Arabidopsis thaliana: one gene and its partner. The protein of the gene in region 1 interacts with the protein of each later gene in a pairwise test. Each region holds a gene or a part of one and is shown on either strand. Other genes may lie near its edges.

Evidence for each region.
Region 2: the proteins of AT3G06590 (region 1) and emb1579 interact in a two-hybrid assay, tested with the Arabidopsis thaliana proteins (one study listed by BioGRID).

Annotation. Positions count from the first base shown.
Region 1 is NC_003074.8:2,051,667-2,057,907, reverse strand, and holds AT3G06590 (basic helix-loop-helix (bHLH) DNA-binding superfamily protein), read left to right. Parts: upstream 1-2,241; 5' UTR 2,242-2,595; coding exon 2,596-3,261; 3' UTR 3,262-3,265; exon of another isoform or gene 3,266-4,219; 3' UTR 4,220-4,829; exon of another isoform or gene 4,830-4,908; 3' UTR 4,909-5,161; downstream 5,162-6,241. Other genes in the region: GALK (Mevalonate/galactokinase family protein), read left to right, coding at 6,041-6,203. UniProt on the Arabidopsis thaliana protein: bHLH transcription factor that binds DNA on specific sequence 5'-CANNTG-3' in target gene promoters. Negatively regulates brassinosteroid signaling.
Region 2 is NC_003071.7:949,362-957,887, reverse strand, and holds the start of emb1579 (ATP/GTP-binding protein family), read right to left. Parts: upstream 6,001-8,526; 5' UTR 5,765-6,000; intron 5,576-5,764; coding exon 5,495-5,575; intron 5,423-5,494; coding exon 4,934-5,422; intron 4,825-4,933; coding exon 4,721-4,824; intron 4,492-4,720; coding exon 3,754-4,491; intron 3,658-3,753; coding exon 3,612-3,657; intron 2,972-3,611; coding exon 2,879-2,971; intron 2,792-2,878; coding exon 2,736-2,791; intron 2,521-2,735; coding exon 2,418-2,520; intron 2,272-2,417; coding exon 2,060-2,271; intron 1,976-2,059; coding exon 1,912-1,975; intron 1,568-1,911; coding exon 545-1,567; intron 466-544; coding exon 391-465; intron 268-390; coding exon 193-267; intron 109-192; coding exon 1-108. Other genes in the region: AT2G03140 (alpha/beta-Hydrolases superfamily protein), read right to left, coding at 7,717-7,898, 8,022-8,051, 8,393-8,488. UniProt on the Arabidopsis thaliana protein: Required for salt tolerance and sodium (Na) homeostasis after salt stress. Together with BHLH148/RITF1, regulates the transcription of several genes involved in the detoxification of reactive oxygen species (ROS) generated by salt (NaCl) stress. Binds calcium.

The DNA.
Region 1 (6,241 bases):
CAATGATGGCAACTTAAGAGTTAGGCTTCCAAATGCTTATAAATTAGTGTACGTAATCTAACAATAATCATATTTCTACTATTTAAACAGGATTTGGCTGCTATCACTGTGAGAAACCAGGGACAAAAAATCAACTACTTCTGATGAAGCGAAACACATAGAAGTTGGAAATATCATTTGAAAAAAGAAAAAACTACACAGGTTAGTGTTTTCATATTTGCCTCTGAAAAGTGTTGTTAAGTTGATGTTAAATTTACCAAAAGACTATTAATCATTTCATATTAGCAATCCAAAATAGACCCGTTGAAAAAACAATGATTGAGCATCATCATCTGTTAATCTAATCAATACTTCCCTTTTTCTTCCTTTAAAAAGAAACTAGTCCTTCTTCTTCCATTGTCTGTCGTTCACTTAGTTTATTTGGTGTCTAGAATTAGGGAGGCAATCTCTGTGCCACCTTCATCATACTTAATAGTTAGTTTTCCTTTCCTTATCAACTTTTTTCATTAATATAATAAGAAAAAACTCATTACATCCGAGATACATAATGATTTGCAAATAAATTTGAAAACCTTAGATAGCTGGAATTATGATTTACAGTAGTAAATTTTCATAGTAACAAATTTGAACTTCCAATCCGAAATATATTTATTTCTATTAATGGAAGATAACAATTACAGCCAGCAACCTTTGTGATACATGTTTTTTTTGTTGTTGTTGTTGAAGTAGAGCCCATGAGAATTACGCAAATCGCAGATTCGAATAGTGGTTTCTTTGACTCAGTTCGTAAAACAGATAATTCATTAGGTTGCTTTGTTCTTCACCAACAAATTTTCTGCTTGATTCTAAAGTATAAATTGAGAAAATTTAAGTATCTAAATCGAAAATATATTCTTAAATTCGAAGTAGATAAACTATTTTATTGTAAGTGACACTTTAGTGAATAATTGGATATGTTGTTTCTTATCATTAATTTGTCATGTGGAATCATTCTAGCTTATAACTTTCTAAGGTACAGAGAATATGCCACGTTACTGACACAATTATTAACCCTTAGCCCTTAGGTTAAATGAATACTATTATCTATGAAGCATTGCGCATTGCGCTCTGTTTCTAACATCCTTTCCACCCGCCTAAAAACATCTTAATACAGTATATATACCATTGTGGTACTTTTATGTCTAACATAAACTAAGATAGGTATTTTCCATTTTAACTGCTGATCAAACTCAACATAGTGAACAGTACAAACAAAAATCAAACTAACAGTAACTTTTCTAGAAAATTAGTTTGAACGTAGCTAGCTTTATTTATATATGAATTAACCCAATGGAGAAGTTCAGAAGCTCCTTTTTTCAGCAGGATATATGAATAAAATGACGCCACTCCCTTATACTTTACCCAACAATCTATTAATCTTATATCTACTTATACATATACACAAAATTTAATGAAATTTTATTCATACATATTGATAGATACACATACAAAACTTTTTTTTGATAAAATACAGGAGTTAATTTCAGTGATCTTTTCTTTACAGGGAAAGAAAAAAAAGCCGTAAAGAGAGGCAGTGCCACTAACCCTACATCGCACATGCATTTCGTTTGGTATATTACTTTATGCGTAAAGTAGTATTTTAAATACAATTCCAATATTTACGAAATCATTGCACTGAATACAAAATCCAAAGTTTTGAGTTTTTGGCCCCTCTCTTTTTGCCCTGTCAGTCCATTAAACGACCACTATAAGTCGTAAATGGATTTCTCCAATAGTAATATGACACGTCATCCTTTCGTTTGAATCTACCTTCCTCCTCCATTCCACCAAAGTATCGGCCTTTATACAAGTTTGTTTGTTTTCTCTTTTCGTAAACATCTTTAGATATCAATAAGCTAATTTAGTAATTAAGATTGTACCCTAAATTGATTGGAAACTATCGTTATGGATGCTCTACCCACATTAGGATCTTTGTAGCATTTCTATTATGTATTTTACTCTCTATTTAGATTATGTCTACAAAAGATCGAAAACTCGTGATTGTAAGAAATTTTGTATATAAATTTCTTTCTAAAATCTCTGTCAAGAGGGTAAGTTTAAAAAAATAATTGTGAACTAATCAACGTGGAACAAAACTTTTTAAGTATAATCATAATTCATAAACATTGCTTCAAGTCACAATGATGTCTCTGTCTCTCATTATTCCAAAACCATTAGAGGTTATAGAGCCAGTTAATTATAACTTATCAATTCCACTAGTGTTGAGAATGAAATTATTTGTTTCTTGGTGGTATTCACGAATTCTCTTTATCATGCATTACAAATGCCACTTTCGTATCTGGCTAAAACAACAAATACTAAAAAACAAATTGACAAAACGACGCCGCTTATTAACTGCTACATCTAAAACGGGGCCGTTTGTTAACTGCTACGTCTCGTGATAGTTGATACCTCTCTCCCTTTATATATCTTCCTCTTCTTCTCCCTTCCATTATTCTCCACAATTTCATAACTTTCTTCCGCTCAACTTCAGATAAATTCGGATTCTGTAGCTCTTTCAATACGACTGCGGAGATCAGAGCCAATTATTTGGTTATGGCGTCTCTGATCTCAGATATTGAACCGCCGACGAGTACTACTTCAGATCTCGTTCGGAGAAAGAAGAGATCCTCTGCTTCATCCGCCGCATCGTCTCGTTCAAGCGCATCTTCCGTCTCCGGTGAGATTCACGCGCGATGGCGATCGGAGAAGCAACAACGGATCTACTCAGCCAAACTGTTCCAAGCGCTCCAACAAGTCCGCCTCAACTCTTCCGCCTCAACATCATCATCTCCAACGGCTCAGAAACGAGGAAAGGCCGTCCGTGAAGCCGCCGATCGAGCTCTTGCCGTTTCCGCTCGGGGAAGAACACTCTGGAGCAGAGCGATCTTAGCTAATCGGATCAAACTGAAATTTCGTAAACAGAGACGTCCTCGAGCTACGATGGCGATTCCGGCCATGACTACGGTGGTTAGTAGCAGCAGCAACAGATCGAGAAAACGGAGAGTGTCGGTGTTGAGATTGAATAAGAAGAGTATACCGGATGTTAACCGGAAAGTACGTGTTCTAGGCCGGTTAGTTCCCGGTTGCGGTAAACAATCCGTACCGGTGATTCTAGAAGAAGCAACTGATTATATTCAGGCTCTGGAGATGCAAGTGAGAGCCATGAACTCTTTAGTTCAGCTTCTCTCCTCCTACGGCTCAGCTCCTCCACCGATTTGATGAGGTTAAAATCGTCTTTTTAATTCTACCATCTCTCGATCTTTCACAGCTTATGTGTATATAGAAGATTCGGTTTGATTATAATCTGTAACTACTCTTCCCAACCGCTGATTCTTCTCTGCTACAAGTAAAAGTAAATTTTGAACCGAGTCTTCCCATTTTTACGATCCTCAAGTCTAAATTAAGTATATGATTGATTAATAAAGTCTTTACCATTAGGGTTCAAATCGTAGTTGGATTATTTGATTTAGATTGATGAATTCGTTGTTGATCAAAAAAAAAATAAGATTGATGAATTCGTTATTGGAGTTAGTGGGAAAATGGGTTCCTCTTTTAACCTCATAGTATGTGATAACTAAACCAATATGGAACTTTTGATGTACTTTTAGTTCATTCAATATGGCTTTGTACTATATCATCTTATGTACTATATGAAATTTCAACATGAAATAGATTTGTACTGCAATAAAGTGGAAAGAAAATAATTTCCCATTTAGAATTTTAAAATACATTATAGTAGATGTAGGAAGATAATGGGTTAACTTTAGTTTTGATTATGGTAGCATGTGATGATGCATTAGAGAATGAATGGAATGATACATTCAAATTCATTGAATTGAATGATGACTGATGAGATTGATCTGTCACTCAATCATCTACTCGCTTTATTGCCCCTCCTTTGAATCCCATTTTTGATACTTATAGGTTGTTTGTCTTCTTTTTCTTTTCTTTTCCTTATTTCACAAGAAATATAAAGGAAAAAAAGAAGAAAAAAGATTAAATTAGCTAATAATTCCCTGTTACTAAATAAGTTTTCTCAAACACTAATCTGCAGTTCTGCACGTACTGTATATCCTTCAATATTCATCACGAAGCAAAACTGAATAACCTGTAGTTAAAATTGACTTAACAGGAGTTTGATTCATTAGCTTAATTAATATACGAATTTCTGTGATAGGGATATGATTTAAGAACACTGGAGTATGACTAGGCGACAACAAGAGACAAGTGACGACAAAAGCAAAAAATATTTAAAACATAGAGAGAAGTGACCTTAAAAGTATGAGGAGGCACATGGGAGTGGCCATGCCTTTGTCCTCTTGTTTCTTTTTAAGCCTTCTCTTATTAACTTGCACGACAACTCTTTTCATCACATATTTCATAAGTTATATTATTATTGCCAAAAGGGACAAACTATTAGAGAAAATAAACCGCAACATTGTAGAAGATTGGATTAAAACTCGCCAACACACTATTAGAGAAACTTGCCCAGATAAAATTATGTCCATGTCGAACACAGTTATAACCAAGGAGCCTAATTCCCAAAAAATGATTTTTATATTTGGAAACCATCCATTGCAGATACTCCTGGAGGTTTCTCCTAGTCTTCAGTGCCGAAGATTTCACGACAAAAGAAGACTTGAAAATCTCGATACTCTTTTGCGGAACTTTCCCACCGCGACACAAAGAGATCACTCCACAGAGATATGAGGCAGCTTTGAGTCCTTTAGACGCGGCTTTTGCAAACATTCGATCCCTTTCTCTTCATCAACAATATTACTGAATAGGTAAAAGCACTTCACAATTCCTTCACGAGCCACTGCTTCCGTGTTTCCGCTCTCTCTGCATCTCTTGAGAAAACTCTAGCTTTAGTTATAGGTCATCGTTTGCGGTTTTGATTTCGTCGAGGCAGACGTGTTCGAGAACTTGAGGGTCGTTGCAGAGATTATGTAATGATTTGCATACGAGGCTGAAGTTGAACAAGCTTGAGTGAAGAAAGAGCCACGCGTGGCAAGATCTCCTTCACAACCACTTCTTCTGGGAGAGACTCCATTTTATAGTGATTTGAGAAATGATATTTTAATTTAGGGTTTCAACTTAGACGTTTGCTTATTAAATTGTGTGAATAAATAAATATATATATATATATATATATATATATATATATATATATCATTAATAAATAAATAAACGATAAGAGTAACCTTAAAAATCTAGTTGAACCCTAAACCCTATGGCTAATATATACAATGTAATATATTATTCCTCTAATCATCTTTTAGAAATTTTTTATTATTTTTAATTTACACATAAATCAATATCTTTTTCAGATATAGTTTTATCTACATTGTATGTAATACCTCCATGTTGCTACACGTTAACACTTGCATATTTGTTACTCAATCTAATTAAGCAGGAATTAAAAACAACGGTTAACCGGAAAACTTTTACTATTTATCCATTCAGTATTATCTTATAGCTCAAATTACTTTTAGTTTTTACATATAGGATATAACTCTCACACACGTAAAATACGATTAAATTTAAATTCAAACTAGGACACTTATCTAATCTAGTGTTATCTGAATTCATAGAGTGTTAGAAGAATTAGGAAACGTTTTTTAATCAATAACATCATTTTTGGGAATAATATGTTTATCAAATATAAACCTACCCAAAGAAAAAAAAAATCACCAACAAATATAGTACGAATTAAGATTCATAAACGTGTTCCGGAATCCAAAAGATCGAAAGTTTTGGATAAGTAAGATATTCACAAATATTCATTTTTAAAATTCAAAATATTCGATAAATACAAGCGATCTTCCGGAACAGATCTTAAATACGATAAACAATTAATATATTTTAGAAATAAGATCGGTGGCAATTAATAATTATGCTCTAGCGAAGACGTTTCGTGATAACTGTGAACATTAGAGGTTAAGTGACGACAAGTGATCGAGAGAGACAGAGAGAGCCAAAAGGAGAAACTACAAAAATGGCGAAACCGGAAGAAGTATCAGTCCCGATCTTCACATCTCTTGAGCCTGTCTACGGCGAAGGATCTCTGCTCCAAGAAGCTACACAACGATTCGATGTTTTGAAGGCCAATTTCAACGATGTCTTCGGTGCTTCTCCCCAACTCTTCGCTCGCTCTCCTGGTAAATAATCTCGGGTTTTTGAATTTTTGCAAAAATTG
Region 2 (8,526 bases), on another chromosome or scaffold:
TGTCTTTTGACGCTTATCTTGGGATTTTGCTTCGTTTTGCTTGACAGACAACTCCTCCTGATGCCTCTTCCGTTGATTTCTTTGCCTCACAATTTTTACACGTAGTTTCTTGAAGGAAACAAAAAATTAAGTATAAGAAAACTGTTCATGCGACTCGGACACAATAACGTCAAAGATCAATTAAAAACTAACTTTGAGAAATTCAAAGATACGGGAACCCATTTGATACTGCAGCATCTCATATAGCGATTCCGCAAACAATGAAATCTGCAAGAACATAGAAGATAGTTTGATGAAAACTATTCAGATGTAACAACAAAATGTGGTACACTAAGTTCCAGTATAAAGAAAACGAAAACAGGCTAAGCAAAACGTAAGGGAAAAACAAACCTCAAATGATGACTCATCAAGGTCCTTGTCAGTGTAATCCAAGAGCGAATCCAAAGAGGCCGAAAGTGAACGCAACTGCCAAAAAAAAAGCAGTTACGACCATAATATAGCCATTACCAAATGTAATGAAACTTCTAATTTCCTGTCCACCTACTTTGGAGTCTTTGTTCCGTTTTGTCTGTAGAATAAATCCAGCGCGAGGAGGTTCCTCACACTTTTTCCTGTCCTTCACTTGAATCCTGGACTCATCTTTTCCACCTCTCTCTTTTATCTCTTTCTCGGTAACCTTTTCTTTTACCTCTTTCTCATCAGTATTATTCCTATCAATTTTCTTCCCCTCAGACATAGTCTCTGAGTTGTTTTTCTTTTCAGCCTTCTTGTCTTCACCTGTCTTAGTGTCTTTCTTGCTTGAACTAGAGGCACCCTCCTTTTTCTTAGTATCCGGAGATCCTGTTTCCTGTTTTACATCCACAGTTTTGGAGGCATTCTCGTCTTTCACATCTTCTAAAGATTCGGCCGTCGGTTTCATCTCCACACTACCTGAATCAGAGGATTTCTTGCCTACCTCCATCACCTTTTTCTCATCACTATCTCCGTCTTTCTTGGAGTCACCGTCCATTTTGTTGTCTATTTCAGCAACCTTCCTTTTAGCCACCCTTTTAATAATTTTTTTCTTTACAATTGTCTTTGCAGGAGTCTGCTCATTAGCCTTAGCACTGGGATCTGAGGTATCTCCAGTTTCAGCTACCTTTTTCACTATTTTTTTGTTAGAAGATGTACCAGTGGACTCTTCTTTTGGGACTGTGGTCTCTGGTATGGCAACATGTTCAGGAACATCCGACTTCTCACCTTTCATACCAGTTGCTTTTCCATCGTTGACAGGCCTCTTAACAACTCTTTTAATGATCTTTTTAACAGTCTTCTTAGTTCCAGTTGTCGGAGTGCCGGAAGTATCTCCTGGTGACTTTTTCTCTGCATCCTTGGTTACTTCAACAGTATCTTTCTTAACCTCCTGAGAGAGTAGTCGATCTCTTTCAGTAAGAGCTTTCCTGTGTGCCAACCATTGGGTTCTCCAAACATCAAATGAAGGAAGACATTCTGATAAATCGGGGACAAAAAGTACTGTGATCTCTTTGTAGCTAAACACTCCATCTGTACCAACTCTGTCATAATGTATCTGTCAATTCCAAAAAAGAGAGGCAAAGCTAAGCTACTTAGATTTCCATATAAACTGGCAAGAAAGTAACATTGCTTTGTTAGCTTATAACTTATCCTAGGTCTACCATATTGACAAAAAAGTGAAACTGCAGTAAAACAGGACACAAATTAACAATTTTTGCAAGTATTCATAGAGCAAATCTCTGGATAAACCAATATCATATCATCTTCAACGACCTCTACCTATAGAAAATAAGAGAGATTGTACGGTATATATACTATCTTAGCTACAATACTCAAGTGTAATGTCCCCACACGTCCAACATCTCAATGCAGTCTTAAACCAAGAGAAGGAAAACCTACCTCTAGGAATGGATTCCAGTGACGGCAGTTACTCAGATCAAGATGAAGCTTATCCTTTGAGTGTCTGCAAAGGAAAAGGTTTTTCAAGTCTCAGACAATGAACAAAACGGCAGCAAAGAATGACAAAAGAATACGTGAAGAGACAAACCTCAGCATTGTCTGAATTAAGGAAGACTGATCAACTGATGGGTCCATGCCATCTGTGGGATCCCAGGAACCACCAATCGCCATGAATGAATGATCTTTTTTAAGAACAGCGAATTTTAATATGTTGCATATATGAGGTATACGATCCTCAAAGAATTTATCTGAAGCAAGATCTTCCAGAGCAGTCCTGCTCAGCCCGCTCATCAAAACCATCTGAACAGCACATAAAACCCATAACACATGAGCAATTCTTTCAATATACTCCGAAACAATAGCAGCAATGATACATCGTGCAAACATGAGCAATGACATAATTAAAGAGGCAATCTTTATCAATGAGAAAGAAAAAAACAGCCAACCTTGGCGTTCCAAACACTTTTTCCTCCAGTTTTCAAAGCTAAAGGCTTAGTGGAAGTACTTTTCACATCAGCTCCACCATCTTCAATGTAATCATGCTCAAAACTGTCGTCCTCAAAAAAAGATGGTTAGGTCTACAAATACATTTAACTAGATAGTATATAACAAAAGTGAATCCACAAAACTTGAATAATGTGTGTAACTCTACAATACGGACTGGGCAAGGGAAACAAAAATCCAGAACAGATCTATTTAAACCAGTTAAGAAGGATTACAATCCTAAGACTGACAAAATGTAAATAAGAAGCAGAATAATTCACCTCACAGCAGTATGCATAGAAAGTGTAAGCTTCTGTTTCGGCCAGTTCACAACAACCTGAAACATATAGTACATTTGAGGTTAACAATCATTTAGAACTCCACTAAGGATTAGATAATAATTGGGAGATAGAATAACAGAAACCTTCGAGAACTCAGAAGGCACAAAAAGCCTGGGATATCTTTTATCTAGTGTCACGTAATCCCTCTCCATGTCAACCAATCGCGAAGATAAAACCTGCACATAAGTCACCCAATAGTTTAATAAAGAATAATGCACACTGCGCTTAAGCACTGCATCACACATACAGAGTGTAAGGTAACTCTGCCCCTCCTATCTCTGTCACCATCAATCTTATTAATGGGAAATATAACAAAAAGTCCTTGATTTGAGAAAGTGGTAAGCATCAAGTGTCTCATCCTTGTAAACATTTCCACATTTAATTCAATACGAAGTCCATCAGAAAAAAAACTAGTAATCAGGTAAACTAACTGGAGACACAAAAATGAGGAACCTGATATATGTCACTAATTTTAAAAGCAGGCAAAATAACACCCAGAGGTGGCAAGAAGACAGAAGCTTGGACAAATAAACCCACAACTAGGAAAGGCCAAGTAAATTCGCCACAAAAGGAAAGAGGAAGTATAACAAGCCCAAGTACAGGAAGATATCCCGTCGACAGAAAAAGAATGAGAAAGCTGAAAGGATTATCTTGATAAATGGCAAGGCTGATATAGTAATTGAGGAGGGACTAAGAGATGTCCAAGTCAATCAATAAGAAAACAACGAGAATGCAGGAATGGAAAGGAAGATGAGGTAACCCTGAGGAGTAGGCAAAAAAATCACTGAAAGAGGAATCTCTTGGAACACTTATTACCTTGCAGACATAATCTCTTCTTATTGGCTTAATCGGTGAAGAACGCCTTCAGGTATAACAGAAATAAGGTTAGTGCCTGGTGCAGGAACATAAAATGCCCTGTATTCCAGATGAAGAACGTGACAGAGATCAAAAATAAAACCTAATTGATGCTTCACGATGGTGTGCATCCCGCCGCAAAGAGGAACTACGTGCATCCCTAGAAATAGATTTGGGCACTGGAGTCCGCTCCTTTGTGTCCTTGGACGTAGCTCTTGCTGTTGGAGTCCGATCTCGTTTTATTTCGAGAGCACGTTTTCGCTCACGTTCTCTTTCTCCTTGTCTTTCCTTCTCCCGTCTCTCCAATATGCGTTCCCTCTCCCGGTCCCTAGCTCTTTGCCTTTCTCGTTCCCTCTGACGCTCTCGTTCTCTGTCATGTTCGCGCTCCCTCTCTCGTTCTCGCTCCTTATCTCTGGCGCGTTGATCCTCACGACGACGCTCTTCTTCTCTTAGATCAAACTCCCTGAGATAACTTGCCCGGTCACCTTTCCGGAGATCATCAACACGAGGAGCAGCGCCAGTACCACGAGCCAGCATGCCACCAGGGTAGTCCAAGTCGAGAGACGCTGCACTATGGATACCTTTCCCGGTGCCATAATCCCTGCCTGGAGGTAAGCTAACACCATAACCAGGATTTGAAGAACTCTCCGGATAAATATAGTCATCTAAGTTTCGCCGAGGAACAGCTCCTAATAACGATGGGGTATGTTGGCTGGCATAAGAAGATGTGTTGCGTACTGATAAACCGTGAGGATCAGACTCAAGCCTTCCTCCATAATGCATTGCTTCTTGGTCAGAATGACGCACAGTAGAACTTCGTTCTGTAAGATAATCGGTTTGTCTGCCAGAAATGTATGCTACTCAGTGTAATAAGATATGTTTTTTCTTCAATCGTTATTGAAAGTTTTGACAAGAAGTTACAGTAGCTTTATAACAAAGGTCCTGAGAGAACAGATCTGAAAACAATACAGATAACAGATGTACCAAAAAATACAAACTATTTGAAAAAGAAATCTATGCTAGAAAGAAATCTGGCTACCGATATAATAGAATCAATCATCGAAAAATACCTGTTGACACCTGCATCAACAGAAGAGGTATGAAGCGACTGCATTTTTAATAATTGTTCTCCTCGGAGAAGCGATGCTTGATCAATGCGATCATACAAGTCAGTCTGCCAAAATCATATAATAACGAGTATCATCAAGCCAATTGTAACAACATTGAACAGAAACCAACCAAATTCATAAGATTTTCTCTTAAAAATATGAGAGTAGGCGCACCTGGCGAGCAAAATTAGATGGATCAGCATATCGCCTAGTTGGTTCATTTTGCAACTCCCTACCGAGATAAGAGCTTGATTGTTCACCATACTGCCTTCTATCAACGGGAATGTAACCAGACAGCTTATCGGAATACAAATCGTCCGTCTTTTGACCATAACCATGGCTCGAGGGAGACAAATAGCTTCCAGATGCAAACTTTGGTGAATCAGGTAAAGTAGGGACATATCCCGAGCGGTTATCCAAAACTGATGAACCTAAACCATTGGTGCTTAAAGGCTGAGAGCTGCTAAGAGAAGTTGATCCATACACAGAGCCATATTGTGTTCCGTAATGACTAGCAGCTGTAGATAAATGAGATCTGTATCCACCACCAATGTCAGTCTCTTGAGGAGCACCTGTAATTGATGGATGGCGAGAACTCAAAGAAATCTGAGAGCCTCCTTCTGCGCCACCACTCACTGAACTTCCAGGATAGCCAGATCCAAGCTACATAACAATTACACATAAATTAAGCATAATTAAGCATAATTTGGTTTCAATTGAAATTGATGATCTTACATTCTGAGAATAACCAGATTGCGAACCGTATTGCTGTTGACCGTAGCCAGTGCCTCTTGAAGAATACATATCTCTATGCATCTGGTTTCAATTTTGTAATTTTAGTTAGTACATTCTTTGAGAGATAATACGAAGAACGAACAATAACAAAGATTTATCAAAAAAACAACATGAATCAACCGAAATTTTCACGTCCCTAAACTACAATTTCGAATTCACATACATGATTCGATCAAGCGAGTAAAATTAAATTAAATTGACGGACTTTACCTACAAGAAGATTGAAAAATTGTTTCTTCTTTGCGTGTCTTACGTGTTGAGAGAAGAGGAAGAGACTAAGCAATTGAGAGATTAAAAAGGGAAAAAACAAAACCCTAGAAATCACAGATAGAGGAAGAAGACGAGCTTGAGAGAATGGTTTGAGGATTAGTTTGCTGTGAAGAAGAGAAAGTAAAGAGAACGATATGTTTGTTAGTAGTAAGGGTTCAAGTTAGAGGACACGCATGCATTATCTTTTAATGGGCTTATATATTAGCCTTTTTATAAGTTCGTTATAGGCCCGTTCTTTTATATTTTCAAAACAAATTTGGCCCGTTATAGGCTAGTTTGAGCCTCCACTTTCTGTATCTCTTTAAGGGCCTTTGTTTTGGTTATGTATTGTATCGAATGTTTAATATAATGTTACATTTGTGAAGAAAAAAAATGAAAAAAAAAATGAAAATCTAGCATTAAAAAATTTAGATGGTAATGAATTTTTTATAGTTAGTATAAGATTTAGTAAATCACCATTTTTGATATATTTGTCTAAATATCAAAAAAAAAATTGGAAACTTTACTCGAGGCTTGTGGTTTTGTCCAAAAATATAATGTCAAGATCCATTACTCTTCTTTGTATGATTCTATCAACAGAGGTATAGCATCAGTGGAGTAGCACAATAGGCACCAGCTAAGTTAAAGACTAACTGCCTCACATCACATTATCATTTCTCCTAAGCTGTTCTGCCATTAGTTTAACATGAATGAATAATTGCAAGTGATAAATCAATCTCCATGTTGTTTTTGTTAATAAAACTGAATTCAACAGTGCTTGTAGTCTGTCAAGTGAGGTCCACATTTTAAATATTTTCAGAAGAGATCACTCAAGATGTGAATCCTGCTTGTAGTCAGAGTTAAGAGTCCAGTTCGTCAACCTGCTTGAAGTCATAGCTGTTGGATTTTCATCTCATTCTCAGTTAAAAGCGACTTCAAGGAGGTAGATGAACTGGACTCCAGGCTCCTTTACTCTGACTCGAGTTTCGCTACTTTTGCTGCAGATGTTTTTTGTCTGAGACAACCTAAAACAAAAAATCAGCTAAAATCAAACCCCTAAAATGAAGACCATCAGAAGAGTGTCTTTTTTTACCAAGAACAACCAAAACCATTTTTGTTTTTCTAATAAGCACATCATCAAACACAGACAAGTTTGAAGCAATAGGAGTAATGTTAATAGGAGAGCGAATTTGATATCACTACATCTTTACAGGTAAAACTTTCGTAGAATGCTTAGTTTCTAGAATTCCTTCATTCTAGATCCTGTATGTGATCTTGAACTTTTGTCGTTCAAAGCAGTTTTCTAGTTGCCTTTGAGCTATAAAAGCAAATGGAAAATCACATACATGGATGGAAAAGATGATTACCATGTGTCTCATTAAAGAGACAATGAGTCATATCTTCAAAATGTCATCAACACACTTTGAGGCTTTGCCAAACGTATGCACCTAGAATACCATCACCATCAAATGCATAAAAAGTATATTAACAAGCGATAGGAAGTATAACCTTCACAAATGCCAATTAAATGATGTAAATGCTGTCTGCTTTCAACCACTTCCTCCATCAGATTCTCCTCAATGGCAAAATGGTTCCTTTCTGCAAAATAGACAACATTCTCCAAGTAGCCGAGATAGTGTATGTCTATTTCAGCAATTGGCTTAAAGCTTCCAACCCTTTAAATACCTCTAGATCATTTAATAGTCCAACGGGCTCAGTATCACGATTTAAAAGGTCAACCACAGTCTCGTTATACACTAAGCTCCTTTCTTGAGTCTGCATAGATTTTACAAGATTCATGGGTAAAGAAGGAAAAACATATCATATCTTAACAAAAATACAGAAATAGGGACCTTCAATTTCATCGGTAGCTCACTTTTCTTATATGCTCGTATATATCTCTAACAACACTTTCAGTAACCCCCATGTGCAAGTCTTGTGATTTCTGTATTCAACTTATTTACATTTTTTCTCAACTGCATAATCCTGCAACTAAAGATCAGTCTCCTCCTCATTCCGGCCTTGCGAGAAAACTCCAACATCTTATTGTGCTTTAGTTCATACCGTTTACAGGTAGCCGCAGCAGATGTGCACCCTAAAATGATAGAAGTATATACCACCAAAACAAAGAGTTGCTTTAAACATCTAAAATAAAGTTACAATTTGAAGTTCTGGACTATGGACTATGACACAATGGGTCAACAAATTTAGTCGTTACCTGCGTGCACTTCCAACTTCCTGACTCTGACTGTAGAAAACTAGACCCCATCTCATTATGCAGCTTCAGGTCGTGTTATAGCGTTGTTACCAACTCTTTTTCCCTACCCACTGAATCGTATAGACTATAGACGCATAGTCAACATGATTCTGAAATGAATACTAAACTTCTTTTTGTATGATCTGAAATAACTTTAGTTTTCATCTCTGCCTCAATAACAAGACCGACACAACAGCTTTGAGATACCCAAAAGATCACATACAACTTCCATATATCATGTATACACTATTATGATACTTGTAATTGAACAAAAGCATATATTCTACTAGGTACAGAAGATGTACACAAGGGGTCTTATGCGTCCTACTTACAAGCATGCAGATCCGAAGCTCTTCTTCTGTCCTCATTTTCTATACTTTCACCTATTCTTTTTTTATTCTTCTGTGCATAGTAAATCAGTTTTCCCTCTGCAAATCATAGAAAGGGCATGAGCACAACATGTCAT